Callithrix jacchus: one gene and its partners. The protein of the gene in region 1 interacts with the protein of each later gene in a pairwise test. Links are inferred from orthologs where the notes say so. Each region holds a gene or a part of one and is shown in the gene's direction. Other genes may lie near its edges. The genes, in order: CDC73, HSF2BP and TSGA10.

Region 1 (3,648 bases):
TATCGGGACCAACCTGGTCAACATGCTGAAAGCCCGTCTCTACTAAAAATACAAAAATTTAGCTGGGCATGGTCGCGCGTGCCTGTAATAATCCCAGCTACTCAGGAGGCTGAGGCAGGAGAATTGCCTGAACCCAGGAGGCGGAGGTTGTGGTGAGCCGAGATCGCGCCATTGCACTCCAGCCTGGGCAACAAGAGCGAAACTCCGTCTCAAAACAAACAAAAAAAAAAAATAGTTTTCAACCACTATTCCCTATTGTGTTGGAATAGTGGGCCCCTGCTGTAATTAACAGAAGGGAACAGAAAAGGCAAACAGGATTACATACAAGTATTATCCATGCCATTACGTTTAAAAAACTTAGATGTAAAAACCAGATGCATGGGAAGTATAACAATGATTAATACACTCTAATGACAATATCATATTGAAAAGTTGGTAAGTACTTACTGTATTTGCCTCATAGAAGGATTGATAAGACTGTCACATGAACGATTACAGGACTGTTGTCTAAGGGATTTATAGTAACTAAAGCTCAAGTTTGAGATAATCTCCCTCTGTCCTCTACCTCCCCACACCCCCTTTTCTACTTGTAGGGACCGCGTTGTAGCCGTTTTTGTGCAAGGTCCTGCATGGCAGTTCAAAGGCTGGCCATGGCTTTTGCCTGATGGATCACCAGTTGATATATTTGCTAAAAGTAAGATTCTCTTTGTTGCTGAATGTTCTCACCTTGTTTAGAGAGTCACATGGTTCTGCACATGCGACGTGTATCTGAAAGGATTGCTGTTAAGTAGAATATACTGTGTGAGTATTTAAGCACCGGTGACGTGTTTTTAAAAGTTTGATACATTAGTACTTTCTGGATAGGTATATCTGAAAGTGAGTATTGCCTGTCCACAACATCAATAATTATTTTTAGATCACTTAAAAATCATCCATACTGTTGCATGCCCATACATTTTGATTAAAATTAATGCCAGTTTTAAATGGGTTGGCTTTTGATGAACAGAAATGTGTAAATTAAAATGCCATAATGACGTTTACCAGCTCTTCCTTTCATCTGAAATGATTGTAAGTTGACTTTTTCTCTTCATTCAGAGCTCTGCTGAAGTGTTTTCTCTTTGGTGAATCTGTCTCTGACTTTCTTCTTTCAAATAACTATCACCATCTCCCATTTGCTCTTTAAGCTTTTTTATTTTCTTGATAGCATTTACCATTCCTAGGCGTTTTCTAATTGTTATATTTTTATTCTAAGTGTTCCCTAGCTGGAATGCAAGTTTCATGATGGGAGAGTCCTCCTGTGCCTTATTTACCTTGAGTCCTCAGTACAGAAGAGTGCCTGGCACAGAGAGGCTTTCAGTAAATATCTGCTGAATGAAGCATTTCATGCGTGTTTAATGTTTATTAAACATATGAGCATAAATTGATATAACAAAAGATTAATTTCACCTGTTTATTTGCTGGAAGGGGTATTCCAACAATTCTTTAATTAATTACAGTATTCAATTAAATTAGTAACATAAGTAAAATTTATTTTAAAATGTCATTTTCATGAAAAAAGTATATTTATTAGAAGTGACAACTTTAGGCTGGGCGCCATGGCTCATGCCTGTAATCCCAGCACTTTGGGAGGCCAAGGTGGGCGGATCATGAGGTTAAGAGATCGAGACCAGGATGGCCAACATGGTGAAACCCCGTTGCTACTAAAAATACAAAAATTAGGTGGATATGGTGACTCGCGCCTGTGGTCCCAGCTACTCAGGAGGCTGAGGTGCTTGAACCTAGGAGGTGGAGGTTGCAGTGAGCTGAGATTGCACCACTGCACTCCAGCCTGGCGATAGAGCAAGACTCTGTCTCAAAAAAAAAAGTGACCTTAGTTATTATGAATGTTGATTGTACTACGAACAATCCTGTGAAATGCCCTTTGTTTTTAGCAGCCCCAGTTTTTGTTAGTGGTACCATCATTTTTCCATAGAAAGTACCCAAGCTTGAAAGTTGTAGTGTTCTTCTATTACCTTCATTCATTTAAAAAAAAAAAAAAGAATTCTATTATTACATTATGATAGCTTTTTATGTTATTTTTGAAACTTGAGTAAGGCACGGAGTTGGTAAATAGAAAGTTAAATAAAAAGAATGGGAATTTGAATCAAAGTAAAATGTCAGTGTGTATTGTTTTACCTACTTGCTTGCCTTGTTGAATAATAATATTTCAGCAAAATGATTAGAGTGTCTTCAAGATATAAATGTATGAAATTCATTAAGAATATAAAAATGTTTTTTATTATTTTGTTCAAATTGTTAGTCTTTTGAAATTTAGATAAGAATTTAGAGAATTTTCTTTTAACGGTCATCATTGATTTACTTTAATTAGTTATTCTTTCTCTTTCACCTATTCCTTCTACACTGACTCCTCTCTCAGCATTTAAGAATACTCTTTCCCCTTCCATCTTAAACAACAAAACAAAACCCTTACCCTTAACCTCATCCTTTCCCCTTGCTGCTTCTTTTTCCTTTTATAGCTTCACTTTAGAAAGAATTGTTTCTACCAACTCATTTTCTGTTCAAATCCCCTGTAGTCTGGCTCTTGCTCTGTACTAAAACTATTTTCACTAAAGTTTCCAGTGACTCAGGGTTCAGTGAATATTTTGAGCTACTGTTGAGACCTACTGCTCAGAAAGATTCCTTTCAAGATATTATTGCTGATTGATGATGTACCTACTCACAAAAGAGTTCTGATGAAGGTGTTCAAGGAGATGAATTTTGTTTTGATGACTACTAACACAGCATCTATTATTTAGCCCATAGATCAAGGAGTAATTTAGACTTTTCAAGGTTTTTTTTTTTTAAGAAATAAGATTTGAAAGGCTGTAGCTGCTATAAATTGATTCCTCTGATGGATCAGGGAAAAGTAAATTGAAACTTTCCTAGATTTACCATTCTAGATGCTATTAAGAGCATTTGTGATTAATAGGAGAAGGTCAAAATATCACCATTACCAGAAGTTTAGGAGAAGTTGATTGCTACCTTCATGGTTCATGGATGACTTTGAGGGGTTCAAGACTTCAGTAGAGGAAATAACCGAAGATAGGTTGTGGAAATAGCAAGGGAACTAGCAATAGAAGTGGAGCTTGAAGATGTGACTGAATTGCTGCACTCTCATGCTGGAACTTGAATGGATGAGGGAGGAGTTCTTTCTTACAGATGAGCAAAGAAAGTGATTTTTTGAGATAGAATTCACTCCAGTGAGCACTTTGGTGAAGATGCTGTAAACATTGTTGAAATGACAACAGAGGATTTAGAACATGACATAAATATAGTAAAGCAGCAGGGTTTGAGAAGATTGAGTCCAGTTTTAAGGAAGTTCTTCTTTAAGTAAAATGCGGTCAAATATTATCACATACTGCAGAGAAATCTTTTGTGAAAGGTAAATTCAGTAAGTGCCAGAAACTTTATTATTATCTTATTTTCAGAAATTGCTCAGCCACCCTAACATTCATCAAAGACCACACCCTATTAGTCAGCAGCCATCAACATTGAGGCATAATCCTACACCAGCAAAAAAAATTAGAACTTGCTGAAGGCTCAGATGATTGTCAGCATTTTTTAGCAACAAAGTATGTTTTAATTAAGGCATATACATTGTTTTTCAGA
Region 2 (3,748 bases), on another chromosome or scaffold:
ATACCAGCAGCAGCTAAATCACACTTAATCTTGCTGCAGCGTAAAACCTCTATCACACATTGTGGTTCATATCATATGGGCTCACTCAAGAGTTTACAAAAAATATTTTTGGATCAGGTAAGTGAAATCCTTCAACAGCAGTGCTGTGTGATCTGGCCACTGCCTACATCTCCAGCTTCATCTCATAACACTTTCCCCCTCCCCAGCTTACTGGTCTTTCAACCACTCCTAGGGGAGGGCATTCACTCCTTCCTGTCACGGCATAGGTGGTTTCCGCCCATCTCTCTTCAGATCCCAGCTGAACATCACCCAGTGAGGCCTTCTCAGAACAGCCTCTCACGAAGAGCAACCTCCTTCACTTTTTTTTCTATTACCTGTTTTTCTTTCTTTCTTCTCTCTTCTTCTTCTTTTTGTTTTTAGAAGACAAATTCTTGCTCTATCGTCCAGGCTGCAGAGCAATGGTGCAATCTCGGCTCACTGCAACCTTGCCCTCTCGGGTTTAAGCAAGTCTACCTCCCCAGCCTCCCGAGAAGCTGGGGCTACAGGCCCGCGCCACTGCGCCTGGCTAATTTTTGTATTTTTGGTAGAGACAGGGTTTCACCAAGTTGGCCAAGCTGGTCTCGAACCCCTGACCTCAGGTGATCCGCCCGCCTTGGCCTCCCAAAGTGCTGGGATTACAGGTATGATCCGCCATGCCCGGCGTACTACCTGGCTTTCATTCCCTTCACTACACTTACACGAGGTCTACTTTATTTGCCTGATTGTCTCCTTGCTTTATCACCAACAGATCCTCCAGAGAAGGGATTTTGTCTTCTCGCCTGCAGCCCCCGCACGTAAAGGTGCTGGTCAAAGAAAGGCGGGAATCACCGGCGGGACAGCAGGGCAGCGCAGTGATGCCAGATGCCGGTAAGCTGGGGAGGGGGAGAGTGTTATGAGATGAAGCTGGAGATGTAGGCAGTGGCCAGATCACACAGCACTGCCGTTGAGCTGCATCAGGGCAGCCCAGTGATGCGAGATGCGGGTCAGGGAATCCGCCCCATGTGGGTCTTTTCTCAGCTTCCCCGCTCACCGTGACTTTCGCAAGTAACAGAACCCCCTCAACCTGTTTCCTCAACTGTAAAAAGGCACTAGACAGCAAGAAGCAGTTCTGGCAGCGCGGAAACCGGAGGACACTCTCGGTGTCACGACAACGCATGGAAGCCGCGTTCCGCGCCGCCGCCCCTGCCCCGGGCCCGCCATGTGGCGCGGCTGACCGCCGCCGTGCGCCCACCTGTCTCCCTCTGCGTCTTCACGCTGATGTACTGGCGCAGCTTCTTCACCGCCCGGTCCCGGATGCCCTTCTCGCTGGACGCCAGCCGCTGGGCAAACTGGATCTCGGCCGGCTGCATGGCGGGGGCCATCGCGCCCGCTGGGGCATCCCCGGCCGCGCAACCCACAGTGCCGCTGCCGCCAACCGTGCACCGCTGAGCCGTCGCCGTCCGCACGAGCCGCGACTGCGCAGTAGGCGGCGGTGACGCGCGGGCTGATGGCGTCACAAAGGCGCCGGCGCTCGTGGTGCGTTCTGGGAGTGAGCGCGGCCCTGGCCCTGGCGGCCGTCGTGGCGGTCTGTCCCGCGTGTGCTTGGCTCCGTCGCTGCCTTTCGATTGCCAGAATTGAGGCTGTAGACGGCGAAGTTAGCCAGGGTTAGGACTTGGCCGGGAGGAGACGGACGGATGTTGGCAAACGGTCTAGGAATTTTTATTTGTTTGACACAAGGTCTTGCTATGTCGCCCATGCTGGAGTGCAGTGGCGCGATCTCGGCTCACTGCAGCCTCGACCTCCCAGACTCAAGCGATCCTCCCACGTCGACCGCCGGAGTAGCTGAGACTACAGGCGCGCGCCATCACGCCCCGCTAATTATTATCATCTTTTATAGAGACGGGGTCTCGTTGTGTTGCCCAGGCTGCTCTCAAACTCCTAGCCTCAAGCGATCCTCCCGCCTCGGCCTCTCTGAGCGCTGGGAGTACAGGCTGCAGCCACCGCGCCTGGCCACGGTCCAGGATCTTTTTTTTTTCTTTTTGAGACGGAGTTTGGCTCTTGTTACCCAGGCTGGAGTGCAATGGCGCGATCTCGGCTCACCGCAACCTCCGCCTCCTGGGTTCAGGCAATTCTCCTGCCTCAGCCTCCTGAGCAGCTGGGATTACAGGCATGCCCAGCTAATTTTTTGTATTTTTGGTAGAGACGGGGTTTCACCATGTTGACCAGGATGGTCTCGCTCTCTTGAGCTCGTGATCCACCCGCCTCGGCCTCCCAAAGTGCTGGGATTACAGGCGTGAGCCACCGCGCCCGGCCCGGTCCAGGATCTTTAGTCCCCTTTAGCACACCCCGTTGGGCCGGCAGCTCTCCTACGAAGTTTTTAATTGTGGAGCCTCCGGGTCCCCCCGGGTGGAGTCGAGAGTGGAAGGAAAGGCCGGCACTGGGGCCTGCTGAGCGGGTGGAGAGCGTTCCTTTCGCCAGCGCCAGCGGAGCCTCGGGCAGCTCGGCACGCCCCTACCCCGGAGCCCTGGTGCCAGTGCAGGGGCGCCCGCGCCGGCGTCCCGAGGCCTGGAGAGCACGCGCGCTTCCCGGGGGAGCTGGGCAGGGCGGGCTGCTTGGGAGGGAAGAAATCAGCTTTGGGTTCATGTATAACCCGAGGCCATCCTATAGCTTGCGGACTCGGCAGGCGTTAATGGCCTAGATGACTCCAAACGTAGTGTGTGGGGGGTTATGTACGTTAACCCCATTCAGTTATCTGGGCGACCTCCCGAGATGCCTGTGGCCAAATTCAACCCTTAATATGAAAGCGCCTGAATCCCAGCGAGGGAAGGCGGGCCGCGGAGGCGAGTTTCCAGCCAAGATTGCCCGTTTCAACGCAGTCCCCCTTAGGGCAGCACTCCCCGCCAAGCAGAAAGGACCCCTCCGATTTTTTTTCTTTTTTTTTTTTTTTTTTTGAGACGGAGTTTCGCTCTTGTTACCCAGGCTGGAGTGCAATGGCGCGATCTCGGCTCACCGCAACCTCTGCCTCCTGGGTTCAAGCCATTCTCCTGCCTCAGCCTCCCGAGTAGCTGGGATTACAGGCACGTGCCACCGTGCCCAGCTAATTTTTGTATTTTTAGTAGAGACGGGGTTTCACCGTGTTGACCTGGATGGTCTCGATCTCTTGACCTCGTGATCCACCCGCCTCGGCCTCCCAAAGTGCTGGGATTACAGGCGTGAGCCGCCGCGCCCGGCCCCGATTTCTTTCACATGACGCTTACAGCAGGGGCTGACTTTCCTTCTGCTTCGTAGATAACAAGTTTAAAATCCGGGCTCAGCCGGAAGAGCCAAAGCGCGTCCTCATCACGGCCGCTCCTCGCCCCCCAGGCGGAGAATGCCGCTCAGGTTCTGCGAGGTTTGAGCCTCGTGGCTCTCCGTTCCCGACCCCCGTGGACGCGTTCCCGCGCTTTCTGGCGTGAGGGGTCAGAGGTCGCCGCCTTCACGCAAGGAACGTAGCGCAGGGGGCGGCGGCCATGGACGAAGCGAGCGGCGCTCAGGAGGTCAGTTGGGTCGGGGAGGAGGCCCCGGCCACTGGCACCCGCGGAGCCTCGCCCGCTGCGCTCGCGGTCGGCCCGCTGTCCCGTGCTTGGGGAGGCCTGGAGACCGGGCCCCGGACAGCGTGGGCTGCGGCGGAACGGGGTGGAGGCCTGGGCGCGAGGCGACTTCGCCTGCAAAGCCACGCGGGGGCCGGGTC
Region 3 (3,748 bases), on another chromosome or scaffold:
CTAAATTTGTTCTAACATAAAAGTTGTTTATCCCTGCTAATATCTTGTCGGGGAAAAAAAAATGAGTACTCACCTGGCAAAAACAGGGTTAGTCTCCTCAAATGAGAGCTTACTTTTGAAATACACAGCGTTCTACCATATCAAGGTCATCAGAGAATTGCTGTAAAAACCCAGTATCTACGTCATCTGTAGGAAAAGGTGATAAAGTCACCATTATCATCCAAAAACTCTTGGGTTATTTAAGAAGGGATATGGTAGATATTAAGAAGACTTTTTCCATGCTGGGCTCCAAAAAAATGGTAGAATGCAGCCCTCATTCTTTTTCACCAAAAAGCTCATTTGTCCACTTTAAGGTAAGGGAATTTGGAAAAGGACTGGCATGTGGAAAAGGAATATCGGTCAGGAATCTGGACTTTCTTTGCTAGTTCTGCCACTTTCTGATTCAGCCCAGATCGAGCAGAGCTGACTGAGACGGTGGTCCCCAGGCTCCCCTAATTGCAGTCTGCCCGTGCTCACCCGGACAGGTTGGCTTGCTACCAGCAGGCTGCAGCGGGAGGACTGGACCTGGAAGGCTCCCTCAAAATGGGCCCTGGCTGCAACTCTGGGAGTAACCGGTTCACTGAACGTGAGTCCAGAATGACGTCCAAGCCCTGAGAAAAGTGGCACAAAGCCACCGCCGCGAAGGTGTTCCAAGCTGCAGGTAGGAGGCGCGGCGACAGACAGCCTTGCGCATGCGCGTTTTATACACGTGCGGCCGCCACGAGCAGGAAATAAAAAATGAATCTTGGAAAAGGGGGCTCGCGGCTGGTTACTAGGAGACGGAACGCTCGGGTCGGGCGTCTAGGCGCTGCGTGGGCGTGCGCCTGCGCGGCGCGAACAGGCCAAGAAGAAGCCCCTCCAAGGCGCCTTGTAAGGCAGGCAGGTGGAAGTACGCGTCGCTCTGTGCGTAGGTGCGCGCACACGGCTTGTAGCCAGCGCGAGAGGGAAGGTCGAGCCAGGTACGCGTGCGCACGGAGCCTAGGGGCGCGTGGGACGGAAGCAAAGCTGGGGCGCCGGGGAGGTAGAAGACGAGCCCCACTCGGTACAGATCGTGAGGGCGGGGCCACGGCGGCGCCGGATGGCGCTAACCGCCCCCGCCTCCTTCGCGCAGGCTCCCTCTTTCCTCCGACTCCGCTGGGGCGGGGCCAGGACGATTTGGGGGTGGGAAGGGAGGAAAAAGGGGCGGAGGATGGAGATGGGGCGGTTCTCGTATCCCCGGCGGAGGCCGAGAGGTGGCAGTCGCGGGGATGAGCTCTGGGGAGGACATCGGGCCAAGGAGCTCGGGGAGGGACCCGGAGCTCCAGGTAGAAGCTGCGGAGATACGCAGGGTGGGGAGAGCTGCTCCTGCTCCGGAAGGTCTCCGAAAAGCCAGCTGCAAGCGGGCGGGAGTGGCGGGTGGTGGGCCGTGGCGGGAGGAGGTGGGCAGGAGCCGGGGGAGCCGCTGTGAGGGGCGGCAGCGGGCACTGCTGCGGGCCGGAAGCTCAGCAGCACGCGTTGTCCCTGTTTCTTGGGAAGTTAGGCTGAAGCCCAGTTCCTATGGTCACCGCTTTGCGTCCTGCCGCAGCTTTCCGCTTGATTGTTGGGGGTACTGTTTTATTTAGAAACGCTCTGGTGGAGCGAGGAATTTGGAAGTCATAGATTTGGGAGTCAAACCTGACTCCCAATCGCTCACTTCTGAGCCTATTTCTAGACTTGGGGTGGTAAAAGACCGAGATTACGTAGGCATTTGCATGGAAATCTCAGATAAATTTCAGCAAGAGTTGTACACAGTAAAGGCAGGGAAAGCTGGCTTTTGTTGAAAACATATTTGAGACTTAAATTGAATAACTAGATGATCATGGACTTGATACCTAAAAACTCACAGAAATAAGTACATTTTTTCACATTTTTTTCCCGAGGCTTCAGGAAAGTTTGCATAGATGACAGTGTCCCAGCGTTTTCCTTCTTCCATTCCAGTCCCTTTTATCCTAGGAAATTTCCTTGTTTAAAATGTTCTCTACTGGTTTTCAGCATTTCAAATATGCTTTGTTTACGTGTGAGGACATAAATAGAATAACAATCGGTTTGTAAGTAGGAAAAAAACAGGTTAGCTATAAATATGTAAGTAGAATGCCTCTTTCGAATCTGCCTCCAGGATAAAACAAATTCTTGTTTGTATTTTAATTGATTAATTAGCCAAACTCTTCAGTCTTAATTAGTGATAACTAGGAAGGTATATTAATGAAATATTAATTTTAAATAATAAACTTCGGCATTATTTAATGGCAGCTTCCAAAATATTTCACGCATTGTTTACCTTCTGAAGAAAAATCACTGCTTGTAGCCCAGAATATAATCAGGTGTAGAGATTCACTGGGGGCTCTTTTCTGTCTTCTTTTTCAGTTGCTTAGACTAGTTTGTTTAGGACAATTTGGTTTTGAAGTCCTCCGTACACCGAGGCAGTTAGAGGTATTACTGTATATCACCTTTTCAGATTACATGTTCCTTTCTCTCCCCAGAGATAGCCACTTCCTTGATTTTCCTTAATGTTTCACATCATTGTATGTGAACATGCACATTATAGTTTGGCTTGTTTTTGAACTTCCTCTAAATAGAATTTGTACTAAGTATTCATTTACATCTTGCTTCTTTACTCAACATTTTGTTAAGGTTAATCTTTATTGCTGCTTGCAGTATTTAGTTTGCTGATTGTTTCCCAAAATATCTCACTCTGTTGCCCAGGCTGGAGTGCAGTGGTGCGATTATGATTCACTGCAACCTTGATCTCCTGGGCTCAAGTTATTCTCCTACCTCAGCCTCCCAAGTAGCTGGGACCACAGGCGGGTGCCACCAGGCCTGGCTAATTTCATTTTCATTTTTTGTGGAGACAGGGACTCACTATGTTGTCCAGGCTGGTCTCAAATTCCTGGGCTCAAGTGATTCTCTGGCCTTGGCCTCCCAAGGTGCTGAGATTATTGAGATTACGAGTGTCTAAATCTTCATGTATCCTTGCTTTTTCTTGTCTCAGGGCAATACATCTTTAATTCTGAAAGAGGATCCTTATGTAAAGAGATTTAAGGAGCAAGTTTTTCTCCTTTTGTAATGACCTTTCCGTAACCTTGGTCGTCTTCCACCTTTTGCTATACCTGTCTTCCTCTCACAATCATGCTTCCTAAAAGAAGTTTACATTTATTAATAAATTAGTCCTCTTCAGACTTGTTTTCACCCATCATTGAAACTGCTTTGTTTGAATCATTAAAATTTATTTTGGAAATGTTTTACTGAGTTTCAACTTTGTGCTGGGCACTTTTAAAGCAATAGGGATATAACAAAAGACAAAAAGCCTAGGGCTCTTGAATTTTATATGCCAGTAGGGGGAGCCAGACAGTAAACAAGTGAGCAAATAAATGATATCATTTCAAGAAGTGATAAGTGCAAATAGCTTATCACTTATTTGAGAGAGTGACTGGGATAGAGGCTACTTTAGGTAAGAAGTCAGGGAAGACCTGACATTTCAGCCAAAGAGTTGAAGATAGCCATGTGAAGGGCTGGGTAAAAAGGGTTCCTGAGAGAGGGAAAGCAAGAGCAGGGGACTTGAAGTCGAATGCTATTGGCACATATCTTAGTCCATTCAGGGTGCTATAGTGAAATATATAAGCAACATTAATTTAATTCTTATAGTTCTGAAGACTAGGAATTCTAAAGTAAGTTGCCAGTAGAATCAGTGTCT

Evidence for each region.
Region 2: the proteins of CDC73 (region 1) and HSF2BP interact in binary tests that used the Homo sapiens proteins (3 or more experiments, as listed by UniProt). The link is inferred for Callithrix jacchus from reciprocal best matches to the Homo sapiens genes CDC73 and HSF2BP.
Region 3: the proteins of CDC73 (region 1) and TSGA10 interact in binary tests that used the Homo sapiens proteins (3 or more experiments, as listed by UniProt). The two-hybrid records come from large-scale screens. The link is inferred for Callithrix jacchus from reciprocal best matches to the Homo sapiens genes CDC73 and TSGA10.

The regions. Positions count from the first base shown.
Region 1 is NC_133519.1:50,414,596-50,418,243, forward strand, and holds part of CDC73 (parafibromin), read left to right. Parts: exon of another isoform or gene 1-593; coding exon 594-694; intron 695-3,648.
Region 2 is NC_133522.1:49,329,399-49,333,146, reverse strand, and holds the start of HSF2BP (heat shock factor 2-binding protein), read left to right. Parts: upstream 1-1,563; 5' UTR 1,564-1,725; intron 1,726-3,306; 5' UTR 3,307-3,527; coding exon 3,528-3,554; exon of another isoform or gene 3,555-3,745; intron 3,746-3,748. Other genes in the region: RRP1B (ribosomal RNA processing protein 1 homolog B), read right to left, coding at 1,271-1,400. UniProt on the Homo sapiens protein: Meiotic recombination factor component of recombination bridges involved in meiotic double-strand break repair.
Region 3 is NC_133515.1:8,703,643-8,707,390, reverse strand, and holds the start of TSGA10 (testis-specific gene 10 protein), read left to right. Parts: upstream 1-1,276; 5' UTR 1,277-1,286; coding exon 1,287-1,343; exon of another isoform or gene 1,344-1,395; intron 1,396-3,748. UniProt on the Homo sapiens protein: Plays a role in spermatogenesis. When overexpressed, prevents nuclear localization of HIF1A.